3 linked regions of the Rhinolophus ferrumequinum genome follow. The protein of the gene in region 2 interacts with the protein of the main gene of each other region in a pairwise test. Links are inferred from orthologs where the notes say so. Each region holds a gene or a part of one and is shown on either strand. Other genes may lie near its edges. The genes, in order: OBI1, TCEANC and RAD54B.

Region 1 (3,751 bases), on a different chromosome or scaffold from region 2:
TAGTCTCCAATTCCTAGGAAATGAACTTATTGAGCTATGTGGAAGAATTCTTACTATCCCCGGTGAGGACTTGGGCTCCTTCAAGTGAACTACTAGATGCTCCAATCTTACTGTCTGTTCCTTTTATAGACATGGTAGTAAGCATACATTGACCTCATTAATACACACACGTTTTATCAAGGAGGGAGCTAAAAAGCAGAGAGGTTAAACAAATTGTCTGAAGCCCGGAGAGCCAGAAAATTGTTCCAACAGGGATTTCTACTCTCACAGTCCAGGTGCAGACCCTATTTCTTTTAACCAGGAGGCTGCTTCTGTGATAATGCTGCCTCTTCTTCCAGAAAGATTAGTAAAATTAGTTCCGTTGGTTTTGTTTCTAAATCTCCCTACTCCTAGATTGTATTTGTTTGCATAAATTGATCACACTGGCTCTTCCTCACTTAAAAGTTGCAGTTGAATTCCTAATCTGTTATATTCAAGATTCACTGAGGAACTTTTATTAGAGTTTTCCTTTTTCATTGGTAGGACATGGGAACTTACAACCTCACATATTCCCCTTCGGAGTTCAGCAGCACAGTGGTACATTTCATAACCAACCTTGCACCTTATGAAATAAGGGCTTTAAACTCGAGTGCTTTCGGGGCGTGTGGAAGACTCACTATTTGCAGCTTCCTCACCTGTGGGTGTTAATCAGTCTGTGGTTCCGTCCCTTAAATCTCATCGTGGATGGAAAACCACAGACGGGCCAACAGTGAAAGCGTGTCTTCAGGGGAAGCTGCGATGAGTGTGTCCACATCGTCTGCTGAACAGATAAAGGGGGACCATCACAGTGTGTTGTTTTTAATGACATAACATCACTGAAGGCTACAAAGAGAGCTGAGAGTGGCCACGTTGTTTTGAAAAATTAAAATGTAGAGATCGTCTTTTCTCTTCCTGTTTTGACGGCACTGTGTGTCTGCAGAGTGTGTAGGGAGAGACTCGGGAATTTAAAACTCAGCTTTCCTTCTCTTCCTCTCCCCTCACCACTACGACGCTTCCATTTAAAGTTTGAAGATGCTCCATAGCTGTAGTAAACCGCCTTCCCTTTCACTCTCAGGAGCCTTGCAGCTCCCGAACAGCAGAAAGTTTTTTTTTTGGTTTTTCTTTAATGAAAAGAATGCAGAGCGGGCGAGCCCTGGGCGACCGCGCGCCCCGAAAGCGCGTTTCCGCGTCGGGCCCGGAGGCCGTGGCCCCGCCGGGTTGCCGTAGCCGCCCTCGCGCGCCCCCGTCGCAGCCGGATCGGCCGGCGGCGGGACTTCCGTGTTGGCGGGCTTCTGAACGCTGCCATGGCTCAGGCGGTGCAGAACGTTACATTGTCGCTCACTCTGCCCATCACGTGCCACATTTGCCTGGGGAAGGTAATGGGCGACGCCGGGCGCGGCTGCGAAGCGGGATCGGGTCGGAAGGAGCTCGCCGGAGCCGAGGGCGGGCTCGGGGTGGAGCGGGGACGCGGCGTGCGGCGCGGAGACGGCGAAGACGCCGCACCGGTGTTCTCCCCGGGCGACGGGAGGCCGCGTCCTGGGCGGGGGCTGCAGGCAGCGCGCCGGGAGGAGTGGGCTCCTCGGTGCGCCTCTCGGAGGAGGATGACAGCGGCCTGGGGGTTGCAGGGAGGCTGCCGAGGCGGCTCTGCCACGTCCAGCGCCCCCGCTCCCGCCGGCCGCGCCAGCCGGCCAGCGCCGACCTCCGAGGTGGCCTCGTCAGACACGAATCGCGACGATATTTTACGCCTCTGGCGCAACCCCGTCTGGCATGTAGTGAAGCCCATGAAAGCACGTTTCCTAGGGACCTCACCGAAGGTTCTTTCGTCCCCTACACAAGTAGGAGGGTCATGGTATTGGGCCTGCAGTGCTAGTCAGGGAATCTTCCACGTCCCAGATCCTCCTTTTTGCTTCACCCGACCTTGAATGGCCTTTGCTCCGGGTGCAGAATTTGAAAAGTAAATAGAACGTGTCCCTGAGTGGTGGTTAGCATGAGAGGTGTGGTCTTGAATTCCAAGAACGGATGAGTCACGCGATGGAATACCCTCTCTTTGTGATGCAAGAGGTGCCTAAAATGGGTGTGAAACAAGGTGGAGAAAGTTTTGAATTAGAAATGGGAGTTTGGAGTGTTGTGTTGCATTCCTCTCTCCTTTCCGTTGGTGCCTCCCATTCGGTTTTCAAAAGAGCATTTCTTTACCATGTGCATCAAGAATGGAGAAGATACTGTGAACAACCAGATTTTTTTTTCCACTCTCAATTTTTCTTACGTTTGGGGTGTCAGTGTGTTCCCCTCCCCACCCCCCAATTGCAGACTGAACCTACAGCCGCAGGCTTAGCCTTGAGAAATACAAACTTCATAGAGCAAATGTTTGAGTGCCAGCCAATACGATCAACTGCCTTTGGTGTTTGGGGTTCTGTGTGAATTTGCTAAGTTCAAGAAGTAGTAGAAAGTCAGGCATGAAAGCAACTAATAACGCTTGATACCAATCAGAATGAAACGCCAACAAAATGTGCTGTGAGAGCATATAGGGAATGGCTTGATCAATTCTGACTGGAGAGATCAAGGAGGGTCTGGCGGAGGGTGGTATTTGAGCTGGCATTTGCTACCACTGCCTGTGTACATGGCTGGGAGCAGGAGGAGATGACATATCTATTTGCTACCATCTACATTTGGCCCTTGCCGTGAGTGCCCACACGTATGTGTTCAATTCTGAGTGCATTTCCTAAAGGCTGATAAAAATATCCTTGAGAAATAAGTTTCATTCGGTCTTAGTTGTGTACCTTATATCTAGTTTCCATTAGTTAATAGTTGTGTTGCCTTTTTCAGTTGTGTTGAAAATGTGTTCTCTCTGGTTGATTTTCCATACCTATGCTTTTTGTGTTTAACAAGAAAATGATACCTAATAGAATATAGTGATTTGCAGATTACAGAATGCTTTTGTATGCATTTCATTATTCTTTCACTCCTGTCACCAGTGCTATAAGATAGAGGGGGCTGATTTCCCCATTTTTTGAATAAGAAGACAGACTTAGTTGCCGCCATTTGAACCTCTATTGCTACCATTGTCCTGAGTAGATTACTTAAAAACTCACTTGAGCTCATCCTTGACAGCAGACCCTTTTGGGGTCCTATTTTTTCCTTCCTATATTAGTGAGCTGTATTGTAAAATTAAATATGATAATAAAAGATGAACAAATTGTAAACAGGCATTTTTATCTGTCTACTATGAAGGCAGGAAGGTGTTGTGGTTGAGGGCCGGCCTGATTTCTGTGTTCGTACTGCATGAATTCTAATCTAGGCTCTTTCACCTGTTAGTTGTATGACCTTACGTAGGACAAGTTACTGATCTCTCAGAGCATTTTCCTTATCCATAAAATGGGAATGGCAATAGTATCAATACCCATCCTTGTGTTTGGAGGAAGATTAAATGAAGTAATTCGTATGTAGTGCTTCGCATAAAGTCTGGCACATAACAATATTCAATAAATGTTAACCTTTACTATGGGCACTGAGGCAGGCCCTCCAACTGAGGAAATCAGCCTCTTCTAGTAACTGTTCTTCCCATTTGCTTTGTGAGGCCATTGCACTGACTGGATGACTTGCATTCCTGACAGAGTGGGAGACCTGTTTTGTCTGGGAATTACCACAGTACAACCCGGGCTTCTAATTGGTTCCATGTGACTGTTGCCTGTCGTACAGTTGAAGCAAATCTGATTTGCTTGTGCTCCTCACCCTC
Region 2 (3,751 bases):
CCCTTCCTGCAGCAGGCCCGTCCCAGTTATGCTGTAACAGTAACAGTCACGCTGTAACTCAGCCCAAGGACAGCTCCCACCCTGCTCCTAGACGGAACACACAGAACCTGACTTCGGGTTTTGCTAGATGAGTGACATTAAATCAGGAAATGTGAAAAACATGTACTGTGCCCAACTCACCTGAGAGCCTTCCTACAAATAACAACTGGTGACTGTCATATTTAAAATGACACGATGCCCCCAATTCCTCATGTTCATTCCCTCACTTACCTCTTAACAGTGGAAGACAATGTACATTTATTGAGCAACTCCGTGCCATACACACTCAGGTCATCTCAATCCTCACAAGAACCGAGACAGGTGTACAACTTATCTCCAACTTACGGATGACGAAACCTGTAAAAAACATCAAGTATTTGCACATTGTTTTATATGGTCCGTACCATGTTAATTTTTTTTTAATTGTCTGTCTTCCCCACAAGACCCTAAGAATGACATTTGTTCCATTCACTGATACACACCTGGCAAACACCTGGCCAGTGCTCACTATTACTGAACAAATGTTTTTTGTTAAATGACTAAACAGCACCCAGGATGCTCTCCTCTCTGCTTGTGAGCTTCATTCTGGTCACTACAGATCACCTTGCTTGTACCCATTGCACCTAAGCTCAGCGCCCCTCAGCTTCTTCCACGAGACCAACCTCATCTCAATTCTAGTTAAAAGGTCATTTAAAAAATTCTAGTTCAAAAACAAACAAACAAAAAGAGAGCATGGTGCCTACTGTGGACTAATCAAGTGAGTTCCAGGCGTCAAGCCATTTGTGAATAAGGAAGGTCAAGAAGATACAGTTCCCAGAAGTAAGGAGTATTGAGAACATTGGGTAAATTTCATGACCATTTTGTGCCTCAATTTCCTCATCTACAAAATGGGGGAAATCCAACATCCTAGGATTAATATGAAAATTAGACGAGATAGTCCTTATGAAGTCCTTAGAAGTGTATGCCTGTTACACTGTAAGCCTGACTGACAATTACGCAGGACTACAATGAAAAGGCTTACATATATTTACCACAGCAGGCATTGTTCTGGAACAGGGGATTAGCAAACTTTTTCTGTAAAAGGCCAGATAGTAAATATTTCAGACTTTGCAGTCCATCAAATCTCTGTATGGACTACCCAACTCCAGGCTCTTATGGAAGAACAACAGCCATAGACAATACATCAATGAATGGGTATGGCTTTGTTCCAATAATTATTTTTTTCAAAGACAGGCAGGCTGGATTCGGCTGCAGGCCAGTGTTTGCTGATTCCTTTCTAGAGCAATGCTTTGTTCAATAGCAATGTAATGCAAGCCACTGACAGAATTTAAAACTGTCTAGTAGCCATGTTAAAAAACAAACAGGTGAAATTAATATTTTATCTAACCCAGTGTATCCGAAATACTGCCATTTTAAGATGCTATCAATATAAACGAATTACTGACATATATTCTTTTTCATACTGATTCTCCAAAATTCGCTGTTTACACTTACTGCAGAACTCAATTCGGACTGGGCACAATTTCAAGTGCTCAACACTTAGGTAGCTAGTGGCTACCATATTGGACAACACAGTTCTAGTGCATATGCGAATATAGATGCTTACATACCTATACCCCTACCTTCTGAATACGTATCAAAAATAGAGTTTACACAGCACCAGCAAGAGTGGGCCATAAATATCCGTGGACCAAATGCACGTTAAAAGCTTGTAAATATTAACTAATACTACAGTATGGGCAAGGTACATACACCTGGCCTAAACCCTAAAGGGGAAAGATCAAAGAAAAATTTCCAAAGGCTGCTAACAAATCAGCTGGAACCTAGATCTGTTTAGGCCTTTAGATCTAAGATCTAGAGAGAAAATTTAAGTTTCCAGCCGTAACACATACACCTCTCCAGTTACACAGGGAGCCCCTCGTCTATGGAGAGAAATGATGCCAAATGTTGGTAGGGGCGTTGCAGTTCCTGAACAGCCACTCAATACTGCGCTGGGGTCCTCTCACGTCAGGATGATCCCTAGCAAAGGTGCAGCGAGTGCGAGGGAGCAGTCTAAGGGCCCGCTCTGGTCCGGGTTCGGGTTCGGGTTCCAATGGGTGTGGTGCGACAAGCAAAGCCGGAGGCAAACCGTCCCCGGGTGAGTCTGGCCCCCAGCCCAGAAGCAGCGGCGGCACGGAGCAATCTGCCCACGCCGCGACCTCCGCTGGAGAGGAGGAGACGAGGGCACGTTCGGGCCTACCCGGCCCAGGTAACACCGAGAGCCTCCCCAAGCAGGGGTGGGTTTCCCCAAGCAACGGTGGACAGAGACCCCAGCCAACCCGCAGTGTGTCTCACCGAGAAGCGCAGGCGACGCCTACGTGCCCTCACTGACCCCCTCGCCCTGAGGGAACTTCCGGTTCCCAGGGCGGGACCACGGCGGCTCAACCAATCCAAGCCCGCAGACCAAAGAACGCAGCCTGGATCCAGCGCGTGCGTGCAGTGGAGATGGCGCCTGCGCAGAGGGTCAGCGCCCGTGGGCCCGCCTCTCCGTGGCTGGGTGGCGGAGGCCGTATAGTCCAGCATCTCGGCATGAGTTGAAAAAAACTAGCCCGGCTAACGTTTTTGGGCAGCAAGATTTGTTGAACTACTCTGTAGCCTATCCTTTTTGCTTCCAGTCAAGACAGTGCTCAGCTAAATGTTGACAAAACTTTGGACAAAAATATGAATTATTTATTTAACGCAGTAATTAATCCAACAGTATTTACTGCACCCCTAGCATGCATCAGTTTGATACGAAAGTAGTAGACATTCATGAAGTAGCCATGTGCATCCCGCGCTAATCATCTATACACATCTTTCCGTGCAAGGGTTCAATAAAACCAAAGTGATGGTAGAACTAGAATATGTGGCAGCCTTCTTTGCTGATCCCCTCCTATAAGGTAACTTGGGGGAAGGTTCAAGGAAGCAGGGCTTTACTCTGGATTGAATGCTGTCAGGAAGCAGGTGATTCTATGATTGAGCAATGTAATAAACCTTACCTAGAAGGAGGGAAGACAGACCAAGGTTACATTTGTAATTAGTAAAAAATAAAAGTAAACAAAACCCAGCAGCGACTCAGTTATAAAAACTGTTGAAATACTGCCGGTCCATCCTGGATATAGCCTAAGAGATTTTAGTTTTAAAAGGCTATTGCAATAAGATTGTTTGAATCACAGAACAGTGCAACACGTATAAATCTATGGAACAGGCTGGGCTCCGTAGGGTGCACGTACGAAGAGACTCTTATTTTTTTTCTCACTACTGCCTTGAAACAACCTCTGTGGGCTCTCTCCCCTGCCCATTGGTTCCTCCAGGGCTGGAGCTTGAGGCTTAAGTAAATCCCACAGCTTTTCCAATGACTCTCAGGTATAAAGAAATAATCTTATTTTTAGGTTGTTAAAAAGTCCATTCTAATCTAATATAAAAAATTCAATTATCCAATTAAAAGCTCCGACCTTTCCTCAGCTCAGGTGTGGTCTGTAACTCTGGGACAGCAAAGGGGAAAGACATGGATCAATTCCTTCACCGACCTTATTGCAACCTTTCCGCACTGCCTCCACTATTTTCTGGTCTCTCTCAGGTGAGGGCAGGAGGAGGAAGGAGCGGTAAAACGTCCTCCCACCAAAGATAGATACGTACCCCCAGAATCTCTGAATATGACCTTATTTGGAAAAAAGGGTCTTTGAAGATATAA
Region 3 (3,751 bases), on a different chromosome or scaffold from region 2:
ACCTGAAATCTATGTAATTTTACTAACAATTGTCACCCCAATAAATTTAAAAAATAAATTAATTAATTTAAAAAAAATGGTTTGTGACTGTTTACTTTAGGAGTAGTATTTACCAATACCAGTGGTCAATACAGATTCTGTCCAAACAAGTCATACCAAAATGACCTCATTAACTCATTTTCCTTTTTATAATAGGTCGACAGAATATTACGCGTCCCTAGATACACAACTGACACAAATTTGAAACTGACACAAGCTAACTGCAAGAAGATGATTTAAAAACACAAATGTTAGGCCCTGAACTTAGATTCACTTAATGGTCAAATGAAATAGAACAATGGGAAGTTCAGATTCAAAACTCAAGGCTTTTAGATGACAATAGCTCAACTGAAATAAAAAGATAACGATGAGCCTACTACAAGTAATGAATTCTAGATATCACTAATAAAAATGACATCCACACCATGAAATATATTAGGTTTATTCTTTGCATTAGTCAGACTACCCTGTAAAACTGAAAATTCTGACCAACAGCTTTTTAAAAGGAAAACTAGAAAAACACAGTAACTAGAAATTTGGAGCAAGCTATTTAAACTCTGGATATCAACTTCTTTGTTTGTAAAATAGGAGACTATGGACTAGATAGTAAAATTCTGTTCATCTTCACTTTCAACCCCTGAAACTTTCTAGATCTAATACATGAGTTCTAATTTTTAAGCCCTATCTGTAAACTAATAAAAAAAATAATGAATTGAGAATGTAGGCAAGTGAAAAGCAGCACAGAATGGTGGTTCAGAAAACAGACTCTGGAGCCAGCCTAAGTAGGCTTGAATTCTAGCTCTTCCATTTACATATGACCTTAGGCATCCATCAAGCCATCTAATTTGTTGATGCATTCAAAGTAAACTGCAGACATCAGTATATTTCCCCCCTAAATACTTCAGCATTCTTATCACCTCTTAAGTTAGTGCTATTTGAGCCTTTTCCCAGGCCATATAAATAATGCCCCCATTTGTCAGCCTTGTTGTGATGCTACAACTTCTGAGATGACTCCAACATCCTACCTGCTTCTGTCCTCCCAAATAAAATGGCAAGTCCAGGCTGACAGCTGCAACATACCAGAGGGCCTAAATTATGTGGCAATGTAGTGTAATAATTAAGAACACAAATTTGGAGGTAAACACCTGAATATATATCTGGACTGACACTTCCTAGTGTGTGATCTTGCACAGCTTACTTAACCTCTTTGTGCACCCATTTCCTCATCTACAAAATGGGGTACAATAATCATAATTACTCATAGGACTACTGGAGTAAATGAAATACTTAAGCACTTAGAACAAAGCTTACACATAGTAAGCACTCAATGTTATCTGGAATATTATTACACGTAATTATTATTGGCTGTTTAACACACAAGGTCCTATGAAAGTATAGACGATGAAGGTCCCTGAAGGGGAGATAGAAGTATGTAGTTCAACAAAGGGGATCACGACCTGAATCTAAGGATTCGTTTGTGCTTTGAAGGGGGAGGGGGTGCGACCATCAAACCTCCGGGATGCAAGAATGTAAATAACGACCAAGAACCAGCAACAAACCTCCCCCCCCCCCCCGTTTCTATTTTTTGCCTTTCCATCGACATTAGGTGGTAGTTATTTCACTTCGTGGCTTAAGTTGTTCCTTTTACTTTGTGGCCCCACTAAACTGGCCTACAAAAATCTGTTGTTAATTAATTAATACCATGCAGGAAAGTGTATGTAGATTAGTTCTGGGGTAAAGAAACGCAAGCGCCACAGGAGCAGTGCAGGCGGACCATAGAGCTGGTGCAGAGGCAACCACTGCTGGGAGTCACTCTCCCGCCACCACAAGAAACGCAAACCCACCGCCCGTTCCTCTGCCACCAACCACATCAGCAGCGAGGGGGCCATTCTCACTTCATACCGGCTCAGGACCCGCAGGAGGCGGCAACAGCCGCTCCGCCGCTCCTGTCCCTCCACCCTCAGAGCCCTGCTCTTGCTTGACTCTCTACCCGCTTTATCCCGCACGAGACTACAGGCTGTCGCAGCCTCACCTGAAGGTTGTCTTCCAGGGACGTACCTACAAGGATCCGAAAGAAGCAAGCCCCAGGCAAGAAAAATCAGGGGACTGCAGCACGTCCCTCACCGCCGCAGTAGCTCAAGGCTCCCGCCTTCGCGTGACCAATCGTGGAAGAGCCAGCTGCGCGCGCACTATCTCCCGCCCCCTGCTCCGCAGCGCCTTTTCCGCCCCGGACTCTGATTGGACTACATTACCACGCATGTCCCTTTACATTCCTCTTTTTGTTTGGATTTTCCCCCAACTACACTGTACTTTACATACCAGTGACTGTTTGATAATTATCGATTTGTACTTCTTAAGCCTTTCACCTTTGTCACCCAGCCCCGCCAAACCTCCTTCTTCTGCCAATCATCAGTTTGTTCCCTGGTGTATGAGTCTGTTTCTAGTTTGTTTATTTTGTTCTGTAGAGCCCACATATAAGGAAAATCATATGGTATTTGTCTTTCTCTTTGACTTATTTCACTTAGCATAGTACCTTCTAGTGCATTTCTCTTTAAGTGCCTCCAAGTTTGCTTCAGGTTTATGGTTCAATTAAAAAAATACTTATTTGATGCCTATGTCAGACTTGATGGAGATGCTGAGTCTGCACCAACAACAGACCTCATTTCAGAACAGATGACACATACTTCTTAAATCTGAGACATCTATTTACATGGATATATTCATGCAGTTTGATGGTCTGCATAGCAGTATTTGCTTGGAAAAAAAGCATATATATAAACTGAATTTTACCATAAAGCTCTTAAATCGTGCTGCATTTTAGTAATGAAGTGACTTCACCAACTTTGTTAAAATAACACATCCCTTTAAACTACCTGACCCAAATAGGCAAACTGATGTTTTTATAAGAGGCCGAACACCTTTAATATGGTGACAAGGTAGAAATATATAGGTCACTGGCCTTTTAATATAAAAGTATTTTCAAATCAGGCCACCATCTGTAACAGCTAGAAAAATATTCCAGTTTGAACAAAACACTTGAAAATGTGTAAATAGAATAATTTTCATCATCTAGACTGATTTTCAAAAGCCATTAACTCTAAAGATATGTGATGAATTAGGGAGTATTAAATTTTACCAAATTGTGATCGAGTATCTATCATTGTTTATATACTAAATTGCTATAATTTTTTTAACTTTATTTTGGCAAAAGTAATGTTTCAAATAAAGATGTTATTAGTTATATAACAGCATAAGTTTCCGTGTTCATGTTGAAAAAGTTAGGGCTAATTTTCTACAATAAAGATAAGGACAAACTGCAAAATTATGACTGATGAGTATAATTGAAAAGAAATACAATCCTAGTTATAACAAATAAAATACTTTTTTTGAAACAGTAAACTTCAAGAGAGTTATTTATATTTTATAGGAATTGTCTATGAGGGGGAGAAATCAACCTCACTTTTTATTCTAATAAAAATTGTTATGAACTATCTTACTTACTTGATTATTTTATGATATTAAAGATGGGCTAGAAAATGTCTGTCATTTTAGTCAGAAAGAATACAACTATTTCTCAATGCTAATTTATTACATAAATATATGATTTGTAACTATCTGCGTTTCAATCACAAAATCTACAAGTGAGTTCAAATGTCTTCATTAAATCCGTAACTACTGAGAGCCAACTATATGCCAATCACAGTAAGTGCTG

The links.
Region 1: the proteins of TCEANC (region 2) and OBI1 interact in binary tests that used the Homo sapiens proteins (3 or more experiments, as listed by UniProt). The two-hybrid records come from large-scale screens. The link is inferred for Rhinolophus ferrumequinum from reciprocal best matches to the Homo sapiens genes TCEANC and OBI1.
Region 3: the proteins of TCEANC (region 2) and RAD54B interact in a two-hybrid assay, tested with the Homo sapiens proteins (2 studies listed by BioGRID). The two-hybrid records come from large-scale screens. The link is inferred for Rhinolophus ferrumequinum from reciprocal best matches to the Homo sapiens genes TCEANC and RAD54B.

What each region holds. Positions count from the first base shown.
Region 1 is NC_046287.1:29,221,899-29,225,649, reverse strand, and holds the start of OBI1 (ORC ubiquitin ligase 1), read left to right. Parts: upstream 1-1,241; 5' UTR 1,242-1,322; coding exon 1,323-1,394; intron 1,395-3,751. UniProt on the Homo sapiens protein: E3 ubiquitin ligase essential for DNA replication origin activation during S phase.
Region 2 is NC_046284.1:116,520,329-116,524,079, forward strand, and holds the start of TCEANC (transcription elongation factor A N-terminal and central domain-containing protein), read right to left. Parts: upstream 2,462-3,751; 5' UTR 2,374-2,461; intron 2,357-2,373; exon of another isoform or gene 1,932-2,356; intron 397-1,931; 5' UTR 320-396; coding exon 271-319; intron 1-270.
Region 3 is NC_046297.1:35,818,458-35,822,208, forward strand, and holds the start of RAD54B (DNA repair and recombination protein RAD54B), read right to left. Parts: upstream 2,196-3,751; 5' UTR 2,072-2,195; intron 1-2,071. UniProt on the Homo sapiens protein: Involved in DNA repair and mitotic recombination. May play an active role in recombination processes in concert with other members of the RAD52 epistasis group.